4 separate regions of the Mus musculus genome follow, and regions 2, 3 and 4 are each reported to be linked to region 1. Evidence: microRNA targets listed by miRTarBase, many of them from high-throughput screens and not tested one by one. Region 1 holds a microRNA gene; each other region holds the end of a gene's coding sequence. Distances are from middle to middle.

Region 1 (4,068 bases):
TTTCCCCAAATTCTGCTGTTAAAGTTTTACTTTAGCAGGCCACAGGATAACTAACCAGGGCTATACAGAGAAACCATGTCTTGAAAAACAAACAAATTGGGCTGGTGAGATGGCTCAGCAGTTAAGAGCACTGACTGCTCTTCTGGATGTTGAGTTCAAATCCCAACAACCACATGGTGGCTCACAACCATCCATAATGAGAAACAGATAATAATACTTTTAAAAAACAAAAAACAAAAACAACAAAAAAACCTATGGACTGGAGTGAGTGGGTCCCGGGAGCAAGTGGGGCCCAGGAGCAAGAGGAAGAAGGGAAGGGGGGAAATGAATGAATGAATGAATGAATGAATGAATAAATAAATAAAGTAAGAAAAACAAATTTATCATACCTCTCACTTCAGCCATAAAGTGATCTATTTTTAAATACATTTCAAAAATTACTTTCCCATATATACTTAACTATATCACTCACTTGAGCTTAGTGGTTTTGTTTTTGTTTTTTTAACCTTAAAACTTTCAATAAAGTACACAAATCATATGGGAGAAAAAGTGTTGATTTTTATTATTCAAAGGAAGGGGAATAATATCAGACTTGAAGAGAAAGTCCACTTGTGACATTCTTTTCAGCTCTGTGTTCACTACCTACCTATAGTAAATTCAGGCTTGAGTATTCAGGCTCAAATTCGGATTAAACTATTCATTAAGCAGTGCAGTTTTGATTTCTAAACTAAAACCCATAGGTAACATAAAAATCAAGCGACTGGATTATAAGTGCCTGTAAAAAGAAAAACAACAACAACAACAACAAACAGTGCTTAGGGCCTTTAAAAAGATCATACAAGTGAATGATGGGCTGACCTTGTGGACCACAGAATGCCAGTTGAGACTGCTGGCTTTGTCCTGAATTAGCCAGAGGATGGTGGTTTTACAACTTTATGGAAGCTTTGAAACCAGAACAAGCAGAAATAGTGGTGAGTAGGGCTCAGATGTCCTGGCCTAGAGCACGAGATATGTGTATCTCTTTCGTTGATTTCTGTCCAGCAAGTCTGATATAAATTGAGCTGTTCTTATTTTTAGCTCTAGACAAACCTAGAGATTTTTAGTACAGTCTAAAAGTCATCTCCTTGGGCTGGGGCATAGCTCAATGGTAGAATACCTGTCTAGCTTGTGTAAAGCTCTAGGTTTAATCCCAGACACTGGGACTAGGGGATAGGAGAGGATCATGTCCTTTTACTTGAAGGATAACAGCCAAAAGAACTAGATTCTTCCTAGGCCAGTTTTTAACTTTGTTTTTCTTTGTTACAGAGGAATGATATTGCCATGGCAATTACAAAATTTGATCAGTTCGACTTTCTCATCGATATTGTTCCAAGAGATGAACTGAAACCTCCAAAGCGCCAGGTGAGCTGGGAGGATTTGCTCAGCTGCCACCTCCAGGGCCTGGGCAAGATGCTCTCCGGAGCTCCTCCCTCCCTCCCACCCAAAGCATTTCTTGTTTGTGGTTCTCTTCCGTAGTCCAGATCATCCTCAGCATCTCCTTCTACTCATTTATGGGTACTTTTAACTCAGTGCCTCTGGGGTGGGGTTGCAGTGAGAGAACAAAGTTAAAAAGACTAGTCACAGATAGTGGGGTGAAGCTCAGTTCAGGATTTCTTCATCTAAAATAAAAGCTTTTTCAGCCAGTCAGTTTTCAGATTCTAAGAAACAACCTCTTTGTGCATAGTGATCAGATTGGAGCCAGTGGCTTTTATTTTCTTACTCTATGCTGTGTCTCTGTAGTGTGATGACTCTACCCATCATCCACTGAGTCAGAACCTATGACCCCATGACCCCAGGAATCAATAATTAAAGTTCCCTAGATGCTTTGGTGTCCAGTGAAGTTTTAGAACCACCATTTACATTTTTCTTTTTAATTACAAGAACTAAGTGTCTGCCCTTCTTCTGCCTGTTCATCTCCAAAGATCACACCATTTGTTTTGTTCAGCACTTGGGTGCATATAACTTAGTTGTGATTGTGATAGACCCCAGTCCTATAGAGCTCATTGTTTCAGGCACGCAGTTTGCATGATTCACTAGGTTTAGTGTAATATGCCTCAGAGAAGTAAAGCCATACCATGTCCTGCTTGTTTTATTTTTGTTCATAAAATATAAGTGTTTTTAACTAATTATTTTGTAGTATACTGTTTAGAGTCATTTAATGACAACCATTCTCCCCATGTTGACCTGTACAAATAACCAGTCAGAAAACCTGTTGGAGAAGTGGGCATCCTAATTGACATTAATTCTGACCCTGCATGAGGGTTTTTGGGTTAGCAAGCCCTGGGTCACCTCCTTATGGGAGCAGGTTGTGCCTCACTGAAGCTCTTTATTTTTCTGGGCAGTCTTTGCTACTGTAAACATCCTTGACTGGAAGCTGTAAGGTGTTGAGAGGAGCTTTCAGTCGGATGTTTACAGCGGCAGGCTGCCACAGTCGTCCCCGGCTGCGCTCATCGGCTTTGAGACATTGCAGGTTTGTGCCCATGAACTTGTCTCCTTTTCTTGGGTTACTTCCTTTCTCTCTGAGAAGTCACAAGAACTCAGACTGTCTCTCTTCGTTTGGAGCTGATAATACCATGAGCCTGTTTTCCTTATTGGATTTTTGCTCCCATGTATCCACCAGGAGTTTCCTTTAAAGACAAGGTGGTAAGATCTGTGATGCAGTCAGGCATTGCTCTTATTGTACTGATTGTTCACTATGGGCTGCCTGCTGAATAGATGACTAAAGAGAAAGTTATTATCCTATACCAGTGGTTCTCAGCCTTCCTAATGCTGCACCATTTAATACAGTTCCTCATGTTGTAATAACCTCCCAACAATAAAATTTTTTTCATTGCTATTTCATAACTGTAATTTGCTACTGTTATGAATTTTAATGCAACTATCTGTTTTTCAGTAGTCTTAGGTGATCCATGTGAAAGGATCTTTCCATCCCACAAAGGGGTCACAACCCACAGGTTGAGAGCTGCTGACCTATACCTTCCTCCAAAGTTGTTTGTTCTTCTGGGTCTGTCAGGGTGTTAGATTTGCTGGTGGTCTACCCCATCTCCCTCTTTTGTTCTTTGGTTTGGTTTGGATTTTTGAGATAGGCTCTCCCTGTGTATCCCTGGCTAGACTAGACTGTGTAGACCAGGTTGTTCTGGAACTCGGAGAGATCTATCTGCTTCTGCCTCCTGAGTGCTGGGATTCAAGGCATGGACCACTATACTTAGTCCATCTCCCTTTAAAAGGTATACAGCAAGAACACTCCTTTAGCTGCCTGGTTTTAGTTCTTTGTAGGTGTTTGAGCTATTGATTGGCATCCTATTCAGGACAGCTGCTGCCTGGCATTTAAAAGGTTGAGATTGCTGAAAGCTGGCCTGAAATTCTAAGATAGCATTTTTTAATTCTCTGTAGACATGAAGTTTTCCCAAGCTCCAAATTGGCTGGCACCTCCTAAAGTCCTTTAAAAGTGCCTACTCTCCAAAACACACCCTCTGAAGGAGGCAGCAGTTCACCCTGCCACTAAAGCAAATGTATTTTTTCCCCTAGTCTGGAGCTGGCTGCTCATCAGTGTAGTGATGACCCTGTGCTGTGATACTGTTTGTTCACTGTCACTGTTTTTCAGTCTCAGCACTGGAGAAGCCACTGTTAGTGTGGAGCAGGTACCCTTCTGTACTGAGTGTTAGCATGGAGCAGGTACCTTTCTGTACTGACCTATTCGGTCAGGTGTTTTCCTAGGGCTTGGTGCTGATCCATCTGGAAAGGGAGACACTGGATTATGAGGCTTCTCAGAGATGATTTGGAGTCTCCCTCTCTCTTTTTTGCCATGGAAGTAAGTAGATTGTCTGCAAGTAGATGGTAGTTGAGGGTTGACTTCTCCCCGACTAAGCTATGAGTTGAAAGTTCCTTGCTCATTGAAATGTCATTATCTTTTCACCCATTTCTTTAAATCAAGCATCATCATTTCCTGCTGGCTTGATCTCCATTTGCAGAATGAGTGCTTCATAAAGCAGAAGAACCTTACTTGTGCCTCCTTCCATCACAGCAATT
Region 2 (4,068 bases), 110 Mb from region 1:
ACAGCGGTTAAGGGTCTGGGCTTAGAGTACCGGCCAAGCTTGGTTCCAACACCAGGGTCTATCAGGACCAAGTTCATCTTTTCAAAGAACTTGGTTTCTTTATACACTAGAAATACTGGGGGGGGGGGGGGGAGAGGGGGGCACATCATAAACTCAAATTCAAACACACAAACTGGGACTGAAAATTTCCAGTTTCCAGATCTAATTTCACAGGCTTCCTTCCCTGTGTAACAACACACTCCTATTACGGGATCAGGACTGGCTCCCCATACCCTTTAATTCCTTGGCTTCCCCTGCCCCTCCCCCCTTTTCTTCTATGATAAAAAGGGTGGTATGCTGGTGTCATGGTCAGCTCCAGACCCAGTGACATCACACCTAGGCAACAGTGACCTACACACCTGTTGCCAAGACAACCACCACCATATTCCCAGAATCCATTTGGCTCACTTCCCACCACTAGGTCTCCATTTAAATAAAAGGCAGACCCCTCTGACCTCTCTCTCCCTCTTCCCCTCCCCCACCCATCTCCTTCACAGCCACCTTTGCCCTTTTCTCCTACCATAAACCACGTGGAACTGTTTGGCCTGGTGTGGTCTGTCTGAAGCCACACTTCTAACACAACACCTATGACCTCAGCATTTGGGAGGCAGAGGCAGGAAAGTGAATATATGGTCAGCCTAGGCTGCATAGAGACCTTGCCCCAAAAAGAAACTAAAAAAAAAAAAAAGCACTTCTTTCAAGTTTCAGCCTCAACTACACTATGCAATTATGAAGAGGAATATATAAAACACAGTAACACCAAAAACTTTGGATCACCCCCCCACACACACACATATAATTTTTCTTTTGAAAACCAATGCAGTCCTTCAGGAGGGCCGGTTGGACCACGGTTCACACATCCTCCAATGCAGTGTGAGCCACTTACTTTCCGTTTCTCGGCTTCCCTCGTGGAATTAAGCATCACACAGTACTGGTGCTCTGGTGCCTCATTTACAGCACGGGAAACACTGGTTAGCATTAGGCCGAATCGTAAATATTTTTTAGATAGATTCAGGATGTCATGACTTCTTTCCATTGGAAGAAAGAAAACATGTATTTTCCAATGTGGAACTCTAAATGACTTCGTGTAATACAAAACGGGTGCTGATTTCTAAGTTCAGAGTTCTTACTGCTGCCAAGCAACAGACACCTCTGCTTTGAAGATCAGCATCACTCGAGACACTCAGTGCTGTCAGGGACAGAGTCACACTCATCCCTGTTCACAGAAGCTGACAAGGAACTTTCCAGTAAACAGAATTTTAGGAAGAGACCCTTTGGTAATGCAGTTTATTGAACCAGCTCTCCCTACTCAAGCGTTTCCGTTAAACATTTAAGGTCTCTGCTCCCCGCAGATCTAGCTTCACTTCCATGGTCAAAGGAGGCCATTTCAGAAGGCACTTGCTTAACCGAGCACAGGCTGGTTAGCCTTCAAGATTTTGCCACTCTTGTGGCTTCAAGTTTCTCCTCTTCCAGTCATATAGGCATATTTTCATCTTGGATACACAAGTCAGCTGGAATCTCACTGTCCAAAAGGAATTTAGATAGGCTGGCCTGTCCCCTGTAGAGGATAACCTGTGTGTGCACTGGTATGTACTGGTGTGTAAAGGGGGTATGGGAAGGTAAAAGACAAGCACAATTCCATGTATATCACTCCTTTCTTAGATGGAAATAGGGTTTGCTGAAATGACATAGAAAAAGGTCTTATAATTTAAACCTTATTGTAGAAAACAAATAAAGGATTTAATAATCTAGTAGTCCTTGAGACTGGGTGAATGTGAGTTCATGCTCGTGAATGTGCACGCATGCGTGCGCACACACACACACACACACACACTTAAATGGGTCCATTTTAGTTCCACGTGGGTTTTTCCACACACTGGCTCTTGATATCAAGCTCTGGTCTGCAGGACACCAGAATGCCTTTGTGTCCCTTGCTGACACTACGACATTGTGTTTTTTTCCCATTATCCAAGGATAAATGACCTAGATAGTGTGCCTATTAAAGCCTCATTTTTCTTCTGCCCTTTTGTCTACTGTGTGCCCCATTATCACAGGCTGCACACATTTTCAGGAGCCCTACTCTCAGATGCCCTTTCAGGGGAGCAATAAGAGGTTTGTGTGTGTGTATGTGTCTGCTGAGATATCTGGCGTGGAATTACATGAAGGTGGTAATTCAAGGTTTTCCTGTCCATCTGGTCTTGGAGACAACTAGTGTGTGTTACTAACAGCTAATCTAGCATGAGAAGACACGGTAAGCAAAGTCCGAATGCCAGAATGCTGTATTTGCAGCTATTACGAATTAAAAAAAAAAAAAAAAGTGGACACCAGCTCCCCTGTACACTGCATTCTATAACTACATCTCTGCATATCATGGGTCACTTTTATTAAAAGCATCATTACTACAGTTGGCAGAAATTTACATTTTATCTTACATGATAGCAGTTTTCAGAGAAAAAAAAAATCAAAGGACATCACAACAAAGAAAAACATTTACAAAGTCCTGTCTGTAAACTTCAAGGCTAGTTCAGAGCTGAGGTAATGCTGTTTTAGCTTTGTGGCTAAAGTAACAAAGTCCTTTAATTTAAAAAAAAAAAAAAGGTACCTGATTCTCACTTCTCTCAATCTTCTATTTACTCTTCTATTTATTTAGTTTTTACCAGTGCATCACAAGACCACAAGCCAATGGAACTGCAGTTGTCTGGCAAGAACCCTCCCAGAAGGTTAGTTTTCCAAAGGGACCCTTCACATTCAACAGCTGCCTGATTATTGCTGAGCCTCGGGACAGAGGCGTTCACACTAACGTGGAGATTGTCAGAGTGTATGGATGTGTGTATGCAAATGTGGGAACCCCCATAAAGTCAGAAAGGGAGACGAATGAACAAGGGATGATATGTATGGTAAATTTCATCTTGACCTTCACAGCAAAAAAAATTAAAATTAAAAAATTAAATATATAACTTCATACGTCCTCTGAGTAGCACTTCCTTCCACTAGTGCCGCTCTGTTACAGATTGCTCTTTATTATAATACCAGTGGTACCCAAAGAAAAAAGCAGAGCATTATGTAAGTTTCCTTAAAAAGACATGATCACCTCTCAAATTTCATCCTTCCTAGGGATAATAAATAATGCACTGCACAATACTTATGACCAAGATACCTTCGGACACACCTGCATAACATGACTTGGACTTTTTTCCTTTTTTTTTTCTTTCTTTTCTTTTTTTTTTCTCTTCTTTTTTTGCTACACTATGTTACAGAACAGCTTATAAAACTAGGTATGAACATTAACTGTGAGTGTAAACAGTAGGACTACCACCTGTCAACAGTTTTCAACACTTTCAGTGGAACTGCTGCTGCTGTTACTCGTCGTTTCCGGTGTTTTCTATCTCATCCCCGCCTTCGAGGGAGTCCAGCTCTTCACCCTGTGCAACCTCGTCTTCCAAGATGGAGGACTCTACAGTCTTGTCCAGGTTCTCCTCGGCATCGCTGCCCTCCAGGGTCTCTCCGTCTTTACAGGGCCCTCCCTCGGCCTTGTCAGCAGCCTTTTCTTCGCTGGTACCCACGGCGTTTTGGAGTCCCGCCAGTGCTGGGAAGCCAGGCAGTGTCAATCCCCCCAGTCCTGGAGGTAGAAACATGGATGGGTAGAAGAGGCCTGGGGCCATGGTGGACAGGAGGAAAGGGTTGAAGGCCAGCGGGTTGGAGGGTAACGCAGCCGGGGCAGTAGCAGCACCAACAGATCCGTTCGCGGAGTCAGCAGCCGAAACGGTGTCTGTGCTTTTCTCAGAGTCTCGGTTCTCGTCTTCATTGTCGTTTCCTTTCTCTTCCGCTTTGGAAGTGCCATCCTCTGGCTCTCCTTGACTTGAAGCAGTAGTGGTGTTTCCAGTAGCAGCTGAGAGAGGGTTGTTCAGCAGCCCGCCCAAGCCGAACACGTTGGGCAGGCCCGCCATCCCTGGCAGCATCAGGGGCAGCACTGCGGCGGGGCTCTTCGCATCGCCTCCGGCGGTGGCAGCTGTGGCCAGTCCTGGAGGG
Region 3 (4,068 bases), not on the chromosome of region 1:
GAAATCATGGGAATAATATTTTCTATTTGTTTAAAAACCAGGTTTTTAGGGTCTGGTATATTTGACCCAAATCTCCTATTTCGTCTAAAAATAACTAGCCAATCTATATTGGAACTCCTATAAGTGAATTTTGGGGAAAAAAAAAAAAAAAAAAAAAAAAAACCTCAACATTTCTTTCTTACAGAAAAGAAAAAAGCTGGACTATTTGAACAAATCACTAAAACTCATGGGACAATTATTGGCATTACATCAGGAATTGTCTTGGTCCTTCTCATTATTTCTATTTTAGTACAAGTGAAACAGCCCCGGAAAAAGGTTATGGCTTGCAAAACTGCATTTAATAAAACTGGGTTCCAGGAAGTATTTGATCCTCCTCATTATGAACTATTTTCACTAAGAGAGAAAGAGATTTCTGCAGATCTGGCAGATTTGTCAGAAGAACTTGACAACTACCAGAAGTTGCGGCGCTCCTCCACGGCCTCCCGGTGCATTCACGACCACCACTGTGGATCACAAGCATCCAGTGTGAAACAAAGCAGGACCAACCTCAGTTCCATGGAACTTCCCTTCCGAAATGATTTTGCACAACCACAGCCAATGAAAACATTTAATAGCACCTTCAAAAAAAGCAGCTACACTTTCAAACAAGCTCATGAGTGCCCTGAACAGGCTCTAGAGGACAGAGTGATGGAGGAGATTCCCTGTGAAATTTATGTCAGAGGGCGAGACGATTCTGCACAAGCATCCATATCCATCGACTTTTAATTGCTGACTAAAGGCATTATTGTTAAGTGTGTATGCAGCCTACACCAACACTCATTCTATCTCCGCATCCAATCTTGTTCTATCAAATTTAGAAAGCCCTTCATAACTTATCATAATGCTGATGATTTTATTATCTCAGGCAATCTATATATGTGAAACCAACTAAGAAACTTAAATGTATTCAGTGGAAAGAAGGCATCATCTGTTGCTGGTATCTTAACCTGTAAAACACCACCAGTGCAATAGCAGCTGAGGAGCAGGTCATGCATGTTAAGTCAGGCAGAGCAGCCCGGTGCTGTGAACACCAGGCACTGTGCGTGTCTGCACAGCCCCATCAACTTGATCTCACAGTAAATTTAAAAGTTTTTTCTTTATATTCCTTTTGTCCTTCTTTTTTCTGTTATGTTTTCTTTGCCTGTGGTTTTACCATTTCAGTTTCCTGCAGACGGGGATAATATGTCACTCAATTCAGCATGGCCATGCATTTGCTCCTAAATGAGTGTAATACGGCTAGTACTGTAATAAGTGGCAGTTTAAGATGCAGTCATATTTCATTTCTTCCTGACTGATTTCTACACTGTTGTCTTTAATAACTGCATCTTTAGTTCTGCTTTTCTATGGGAAGTAGGACTTATCACCTTTAATCATGTTTCATCTTAGTTATACTAAAAAAGTAAGAATCCTAGGGTATATTATTACCAGATACACATGAACAGAATTTTGAGAAAGATTAAAAACTTGTAGCAACCTCTGAAGTTTTCCCCACTGGGTCTCAATTCAGTGACAGTAATCAGGGTCCTAGAACTCACCTGTGAGCAGACCTTTAATTATGGCTCCATGCAGAGCTTCTCAGATCTTATTCCCTATCATCTTTCAAAACGATTTCTTTGTTCTCTTGGTATTGGTTTGTCTTGGACATGGCCATGGTTGGTGGAAGCTTAAAGAAATTCTCAGAGAAACTGTGTTAGCCTTTACATAGCTTCTGCTTGAAACAGTGCATTTTTCTACCCATTATCGAGAAGAGCAATTTCAACTTTTTTTTTAAGCTGCACTTTTAACCTTATGTTTTTTAAAGTATATAAAACAATAATTTATAAACACGGTATCAAAACTCATTGTGTTTTTTTAGACTTTTGATATTATTTGATATTGTATAAACTTTATTAGATCAAGATTTAAGACATACAAGACAATTTCTTTAAGTCTTCACAGTAGTGACTTTATATAGAAGAATACTGTGATGGGACTGTACTGTAATTTATTATAAAGACCTTGCTCATGGTGATATGTACATACATTTTTCTTTCTTTTGCTGCTGTGTTAGTTGGTAATAAGTTTTTCACTGTGTGGTATTTATTGTTCTAAATCACAACAGAAATCTTATATTAGAGTATACATTAATTCATGATCCTTCAATTATATTATTTATAGCAGGAATCCTTTGAATAAGATATAGATGAGGAAGAATTCATATATTTAATGATAACCAATAGAGATAATGCCATTTTAAAGAAGTAAATTCTCATTTTCTATATTGAACTAAATTTCCAATGAATGAAAAGTTGAGGTTTCACTAGATTTCATTTATTTTTTTAAGTACTACATAAATCTGATTTCTCAGATTACTAAAAACTTTGACCTTTAGTGTGATGTACTTTCTGACCAAAGTGTGTTTTCTGTATGACATTTTTTTTATTTTTAAAAAGGAAATTATATCAAGAATATTGGGAAAACTTACCCTTGGCATAAGCATGACTTAATTTTTTAAGTCAGTAGATGTTCCTGCTTTGTAAAATAGAACTTGGAAAAGTAAAAGGAATCTCAAAACATAGTAATCACTGAACTATCCAGAGAAAAATTAAATGTTCTTTCAGTAACTATAAGCATTTTATTATGTGACTTAGACCAGCCACCACTCCAACACCATAGTAAATACTTAAATTGATAGCTATGATACCATAGTGAAATAAAAATTAACAATTTTATAAATTATATCCACTATAAAAATAGTTGTCATATTCATCATTAATTTTAAGATTATAGTTTATAGTATGCCTTCATACATCATGATCACTTGTAGGTGTATTTTTATTTTTAACACTATTCTATTTTAAAGGAATTTGAAGGGATTTACAAAACAGTTGTTTGTACAAAATACTGAACATTCCAACCATGTAAATTTGCATGATCTCATGCATCAGCAAGAGAAACTCGGGTGATCATTTGGTTCTAAATTCTCTAACTAGAAAGTTGATCCTTTTCACAGTAGAAAACACTTATATTCAGAGGCTAAAGTGAAAGCCATAAACTTAAGCAGTAACAAATATGAAGTTAAGCTGTCTTATGTGAGTTATTATACCCTACAAAGTACCTGTGTTAAACACACCCTTCAGTGAAAAATGCAAAGCCAGAGGATAGTAAAAATCTCCAGTGCAAGAAAGTACTAAGTACAAACTATATGATACCAACACATTGCTGTCGTTCATCCCAAGTTCACTACAAGCTGTCAGCTCCCAAGTAGCCACAGACTGCAACCTACACATCCCACTGTCTCAAAGACATGGGAATAAACTGTTATTTGTTTGCAGAAGAGAGTTATCAATATAAATATTGAACAAAAACCAAAGGATGTTTACATTTCACATCATGGATCTGAAAGGCTCCCTTAGCTTTGCTTTAGGAGAGTCTTTGTCACTCTCCTACATGCGTTTTGTATCATTGCTAAGCATTAAGGAACTGCAGTCTGCACTGAACATTTCTATACTTTGGATACTACCTAATGATGGTACTTGCTTGGGTCAGGAACATATCAGCTAAGATGAGAAAAGGCTGCTTGTAGTTCCAGGAATAATTAACATTCAGAGATTACACTTTGTTGCAAAATGATGTCTGCCATATGCCCACTTTTATTTACTACAAGTGTTAAGAGAAATGTGCCTGAATCACATTGATTGTGGACAGAAGGAACTTTATTTTGTTCTGTTTAAAGATCCAAGAGAGATGATCTAGTCTAGTTTTGTCAATGAGAAGACAAAACCCTGATGGTGAAGTAGCTCCCCATGGCTCCATCCTCCTAGCCCAGTAACCTTCCTTGGCTTCTTCTCTCCCTGCTTAGCTTTTAAAAGTCACATAATTCCAAACATCAGCCTAGATGTTCCATGCAAAACTTGTTAGTTATGCTTACTTAAAATGTAATGCTGTAATTTTGTATACAAAGGGGGTTTCACCCTCCCTTTTTAATTTATATAACACTGTTATCCCATCAGTTTTGTTACCAGACTTCCTTGGCACCTGCAGAATATG
Region 4 (4,068 bases), not on the chromosome of region 1:
GAGCAAGCAGGCTGGAGAGCAGCTAGTTCCCTCTGTGGACAGCCAGGCATGCATGCAAACTGCTCTAGGCACTGGATGAGTCTGCACCTCCCCAACTGTGGCTCGTCTGTTCTGTTCCTGTTTATGTCTCTGCCATCAAAGGCCTCCTCCCCTCTTTAAAAACGTGAGTGGACCTTCATTAAAGTCATCAGCAAAGAATTCAAAGCCAGACAGTGTTCCACCAAACTGGCCTCACCAAGCACAGAGATCATTGAAGAGATCCCTACAGAGCAGAATCATTCAAAGGAAACAGACTTTACTGTGTATGGTGGACAGTTCTGCCGTGTCCCTGTCGGCTATTCCTTGCTGTGGACACACACTCCAATTAATATAGTTGCAACATGCTTTTAGTAGGGCAGAGGAGTATTTATTTCTTCTTGGCACCTAAGGGACACCAAAGGGAGAGTGACAATATGGCTCATAGGAGAGCAGCGGATCAAGGTCCAGGAGACCCAAGAGCCCACGCTGCTGGCCACAGCTGGGTTACTCTGGGCTACTCTGCCTCCACTTCCTGTTGATAATCTCTGCCAAGTTCTCTCACCCAATTAAGGTCTAAAGTGACAGCTCTTGGGGAGAAGCAATGGAAGGAGATGATCAGAGGTCAAGCACGGGCTGTTTCTTCTCTCCCAATCCTTCCTTCCAGCGGTCTCTCATTCCTAGGCACCACCCTACCCCAGCTCATGTCAGAAATGCATGCGGATCACGGCTAAAGGGCTCTGAGGTTTTCTTGGCCTCTTTTAGGTTCCATGTGGATGGCTGCAGAATGCAAGCTAAGCAAGGTGCAGACTGCTAGTCTCAGAGATGCCAAGGCCAGAGCTCATCTGACTCCAGGCTCTGCAGGCAGCACTCTGTGGCCGTAATTGCTGGGGGAAAACAGCTCACACCATCTGTATGGGATTTGAGGCCACGACAACAGTCCTAAGACTGGGCTGGACATCAGAAAAAATGGAGGTATGTCCCACTAGTGTGAGTGGATACGGAACAATTTTAGTGGGTCGTTTGCGCCGTACAGAGTCTGCCTTTTACAGTGCCAGAGGCTACAGACAGGGCTAGCCTACTGTTGACCTTCCAGGCCATTCCTGGGCCATGACTGTTCTTAAAAAGAAAGAAAATGAAGAATCATGATGTCTTTAGAGGAAGCAGATGAAAGGGAGGTTCCGTGCTTGCTTGGGGCTTTAGCTGTGGAGCCTAAATCACTCTTCAGGGGCGTCCTAGTGTCTTAGGATCATGGGTTGTGACAGTTTGGGGGCTGCTTGAATCCAAGAGTACAAAAACTATTTCCCCCACCTACTGGCTATTAGAAACTTGCTAACCCCCCCACGCCCCCAGTGCTAACAACAGGGGTCATGGGTCTCAACCTTACAGCCAGCCCACTGGGCTCATAACTTCTAGAACTTTCTACACTTCCAGTTCAGTAGCCTTAGCAAGTGTCCTCATATGGTCATGTCACCAGATCATACTCCAGCCAGCCGAGAGCGCTCCTTCTACCTGATAATGGAAGCTCATCTGAAGCCTGAGCTGACAGCCCCAGTGTCCACTGCTCTTGGGAGCCATGTGTCCAGGCTGTTGGTAGGCAAAGGGGCTGGGGTGGCCTAAGAAGAATTCCCCTTAGCCCATGCTGGGCCATAGCTAACCCAGTCTATGTTCTCTTGGTGCACCAGTAGCAGCTGCTACTGACTTGAGAACTATTGGGAGCTGTGGGGAACGGCAGCACCCTGGCTGAATTACATCAGAGGTGACCACTCTGTTGTATAAAGCATCCCAAATTGATGGGGTCACCCCCTAACAGAACTCAGCCTTCCACATCACCAGCCTTCCTTCCTTTTTTTTTGTCCCGATCGAATTCCTTGCTCAGAGTGACTCATCAGCCACTGCAAGGAAAGATGAGGACTTGGAAGTCGCCACAGGGCCTGGGTCTTAAACGTGCCGACCCTAGCCCTGTCCTCAGGCTGTTTTCTCATTCAAGAGGAAGAATTTCTGATCCCATGTGGATACATCTAGAGGGTTCTCAGATGGGTAGGGAACCAACGTTTCCCTTGCTCAAGGCATTCTGAAGTGTTGGGGGTCAGGGTTAACAAACCTTGCCTCCTGTGTGCAAACTCTCCTAAAGAGGAATGCCTGTGGACCTGAAAGTCCAATGGTTCCTTTAAGAAGTTCTCTGTGAGCAGAGAGCTTTTTGGCTGCAGGCCCTTCCTTAGCAGGAACTGGGAAAGGGAAGGCAGACCTGGGAGGAGCATCTCTGTCTCTAAGGCTAAGCTGCCACCTGAGGGGCTCTCATCCTCATGGCGTGAAGGATGGCTTTGTATTGTTCAAACCTATTACAGGAAGCCCAGCCTGTCTTCTAAGCCCAGGCTAGCTCCTATACAATGCTCTCCTGGTATCCAGAAAGTCTCCAACTCCAGGCCCTCTGCCTGGAAGAGAAGGAAGGTCCCACAGGCAATGTCCTCCAGGATCGTGGCTGGGGTCCCTGCAGGAGGGCCTCAGAGTAGTCTATGATGATTACATTGCCACAGTCTGTGCCTCAGAGCCAAGTCTAGGTTTGAGAACAGCAAACTGCATTCATTTCTGAGAATTATTTCAGCACAACAAAGATGATGTGTTATTCAACAAGGGTCTGAACTCTGCTGTGTGGTTTGATTAAAACACTAAGTTCTGCTTATATGTTTAATTGAACGAATGTTTATTAAGCACCTATTAAGTGCCCAGACTCCGCTAGACACCCTCCCTGCATTCTGTTCCCACAGCTTAAGCATCTGCTCTGAAATCAGAAACAAAAACAAACAAAACAAAAAACAAACAAACAAACAAGAACATTGCTGCAATCACAATAAATCAGGGGAGGATGGGTCTTAGCAGGAACTAGTCATTCCCTGTCAGTACGCACACCCCAAAACTTCTGGTTTATCTTCCCTCTAGAGAGGTCTCCACTAAATGTTTCCTTTCAAGTAGGTATGTCTGACCTACAGCCCAAAGGTCACAGGCAGCCAAGGGTAACCGTGAATGTGCTCCAACCCAAAATAGTGTATTTACTTAAAACTTTTTTTTTTTTTTTACAATTATTTCTTTTTGAGTAAGTCAGTTGTGCAGTTTTTGAGTGTGAACTTTGTGGTTGACAATGTCATGTCACATCTGCTAAAGCAACAAAATGCATACTGGGAAAAGATGCTCCCTCCACATGCCCGTGGTCTAGAACCTGCTGGAGAGTCACATACACTGAATGCCACGCAGCAGAAGGCACCCGAGGGCCTGCTGTAAAGGATAATGGTACTTGGATTAGAAAATACTCCCCCATCCCCGGTTCATAGGGTTACAACAGCCCTTAAGGGAAGATCTAAACATCCCTGCCCTGACTGCGTAAACGGCTAAGGTAGACCAAGTTCTGGATTCCTGAGTCAGAAGCTTCCAGCTGTCCATGACCTCACAAAGCCAGAGAAGCGAGAGATTTCCTATTCTGGAGGAGTGAGCGGACGGCACAATTGGTCTGGAGACAGACAGATCGCACCTGCATTTACAGAAGCAAATGGAGAATGTCCTACGTCTACCACACCTCTCACACACACTTGCTCCGCCCCGCCCTAGTTATCTGTGCCTAACTTGGAGAGTCCTCTACGGAAGTCATGGAGGTCGTCGATCTTTCCATCCAGCACCTCAAGGAAGCTCTTCAGCTCCCCCTTCAGGTGGCGCTGTCGGTATTTACTCTCCTCGATGTCTGTCTTTAGAGACCGCACTTTGTCTTCCAAGTTTTGATTGTCTCTTTCGGCCGCCTGATGAGACAAAAGGGAGAAGGATCTAGAAGGCAGTGACGGATGGAACCATCATGAAAACGGCTGAACCCTGACAAACGCTCACCACTCAAGTCAGAAAGGGGGCCACCTGGTACTTTCCCTAGAGAAGGATTAGAAGGTCTGAGCACCCCAGAAATGCAGAATGCAGAGTCCTGCACAAGGGGGCTTCACAGAAGTTCCAAAAGAGAACCAGAAATCGGAGGCCCCGTCCTTTCGTTTATATCCTACCAAAGCCAGGACAGAC

The links. Region 1 holds the annotated microRNA mmu-miR-30e-5p (UGUAAACAUCCUUGACUGGAAG, at 2,392-2,413, shown strand). A microRNA usually pairs through its seed, bases 2 to 8, with sites in the 3' UTR of a target mRNA and lowers its output. Matches are read on the target gene's strand: a 7mer-m8 pairs with bases 2 to 8, a 7mer-A1 pairs with bases 2 to 7 and ends in A, and an 8mer does both.
Region 2: the mRNA of Chd7 is a reported target of mmu-miR-30e-5p. Seed matches in the 3' UTR shown: 8mer at 3,335-3,342 and 7mer-A1 at 2,545-2,551.
Region 3: miRTarBase lists Neto2 as a target of mmu-miR-30e-5p. Seed matches in the 3' UTR shown: 8mer at 3,395-3,402.
Region 4: the mRNA of Homer2 is a reported target of mmu-miR-30e-5p. The part of its 3' UTR that is shown has no 7-base or 8-base seed match.

The regions. Positions count from the first base shown.
Region 1 is chr4:120,771,005-120,775,072 of GRCm38, reverse strand. Mir30e (microRNA 30e) reads left to right here and starts at 2,376; the gene lies at 2,376-2,467. It overlaps Nfyc (nuclear transcription factor-Y gamma), which reads left to right. Exons shown (of 10, transcript NM_008692.4): 5 at 1,306-1,401. Mir30f (microRNA 30f) reads right to left here and starts at 2,467; the gene lies at 2,376-2,467.
Region 2 is chr4:8,865,986-8,870,053 of GRCm38, reverse strand. It overlaps Chd7 (chromodomain helicase DNA binding protein 7), which reads right to left. Exons shown (of 38, transcript NM_001277149.1): 38 at 1,605-4,068. The coding sequence ends at 3,399. Among named protein-coding and RNA genes, the nearest start is that of Gm46842, 43 kb to the left of the region's middle.
Region 3 is chr8:85,637,233-85,641,300 of GRCm38, reverse strand. It overlaps Neto2 (neuropilin (NRP) and tolloid (TLL)-like 2), which reads left to right. Exons shown (of 9, transcript NM_001357288.1): 9 at 185-4,068. The coding sequence ends at 765. Among named protein-coding and RNA genes, the nearest start is that of Mir8109, 62 kb to the left of the region's middle.
Region 4 is chr7:81,606,639-81,610,706 of GRCm38, forward strand. Homer2 (homer scaffolding protein 2) reads right to left here. Exons shown (of 9, transcript NM_001164086.1): 9 at 1-3,803. The coding sequence ends at 3,615. Gm44570 (a long non-coding RNA gene) reads left to right here and starts at 3,488. Exons shown (of 2, transcript XR_001778192.1): 1 at 3,488-3,915.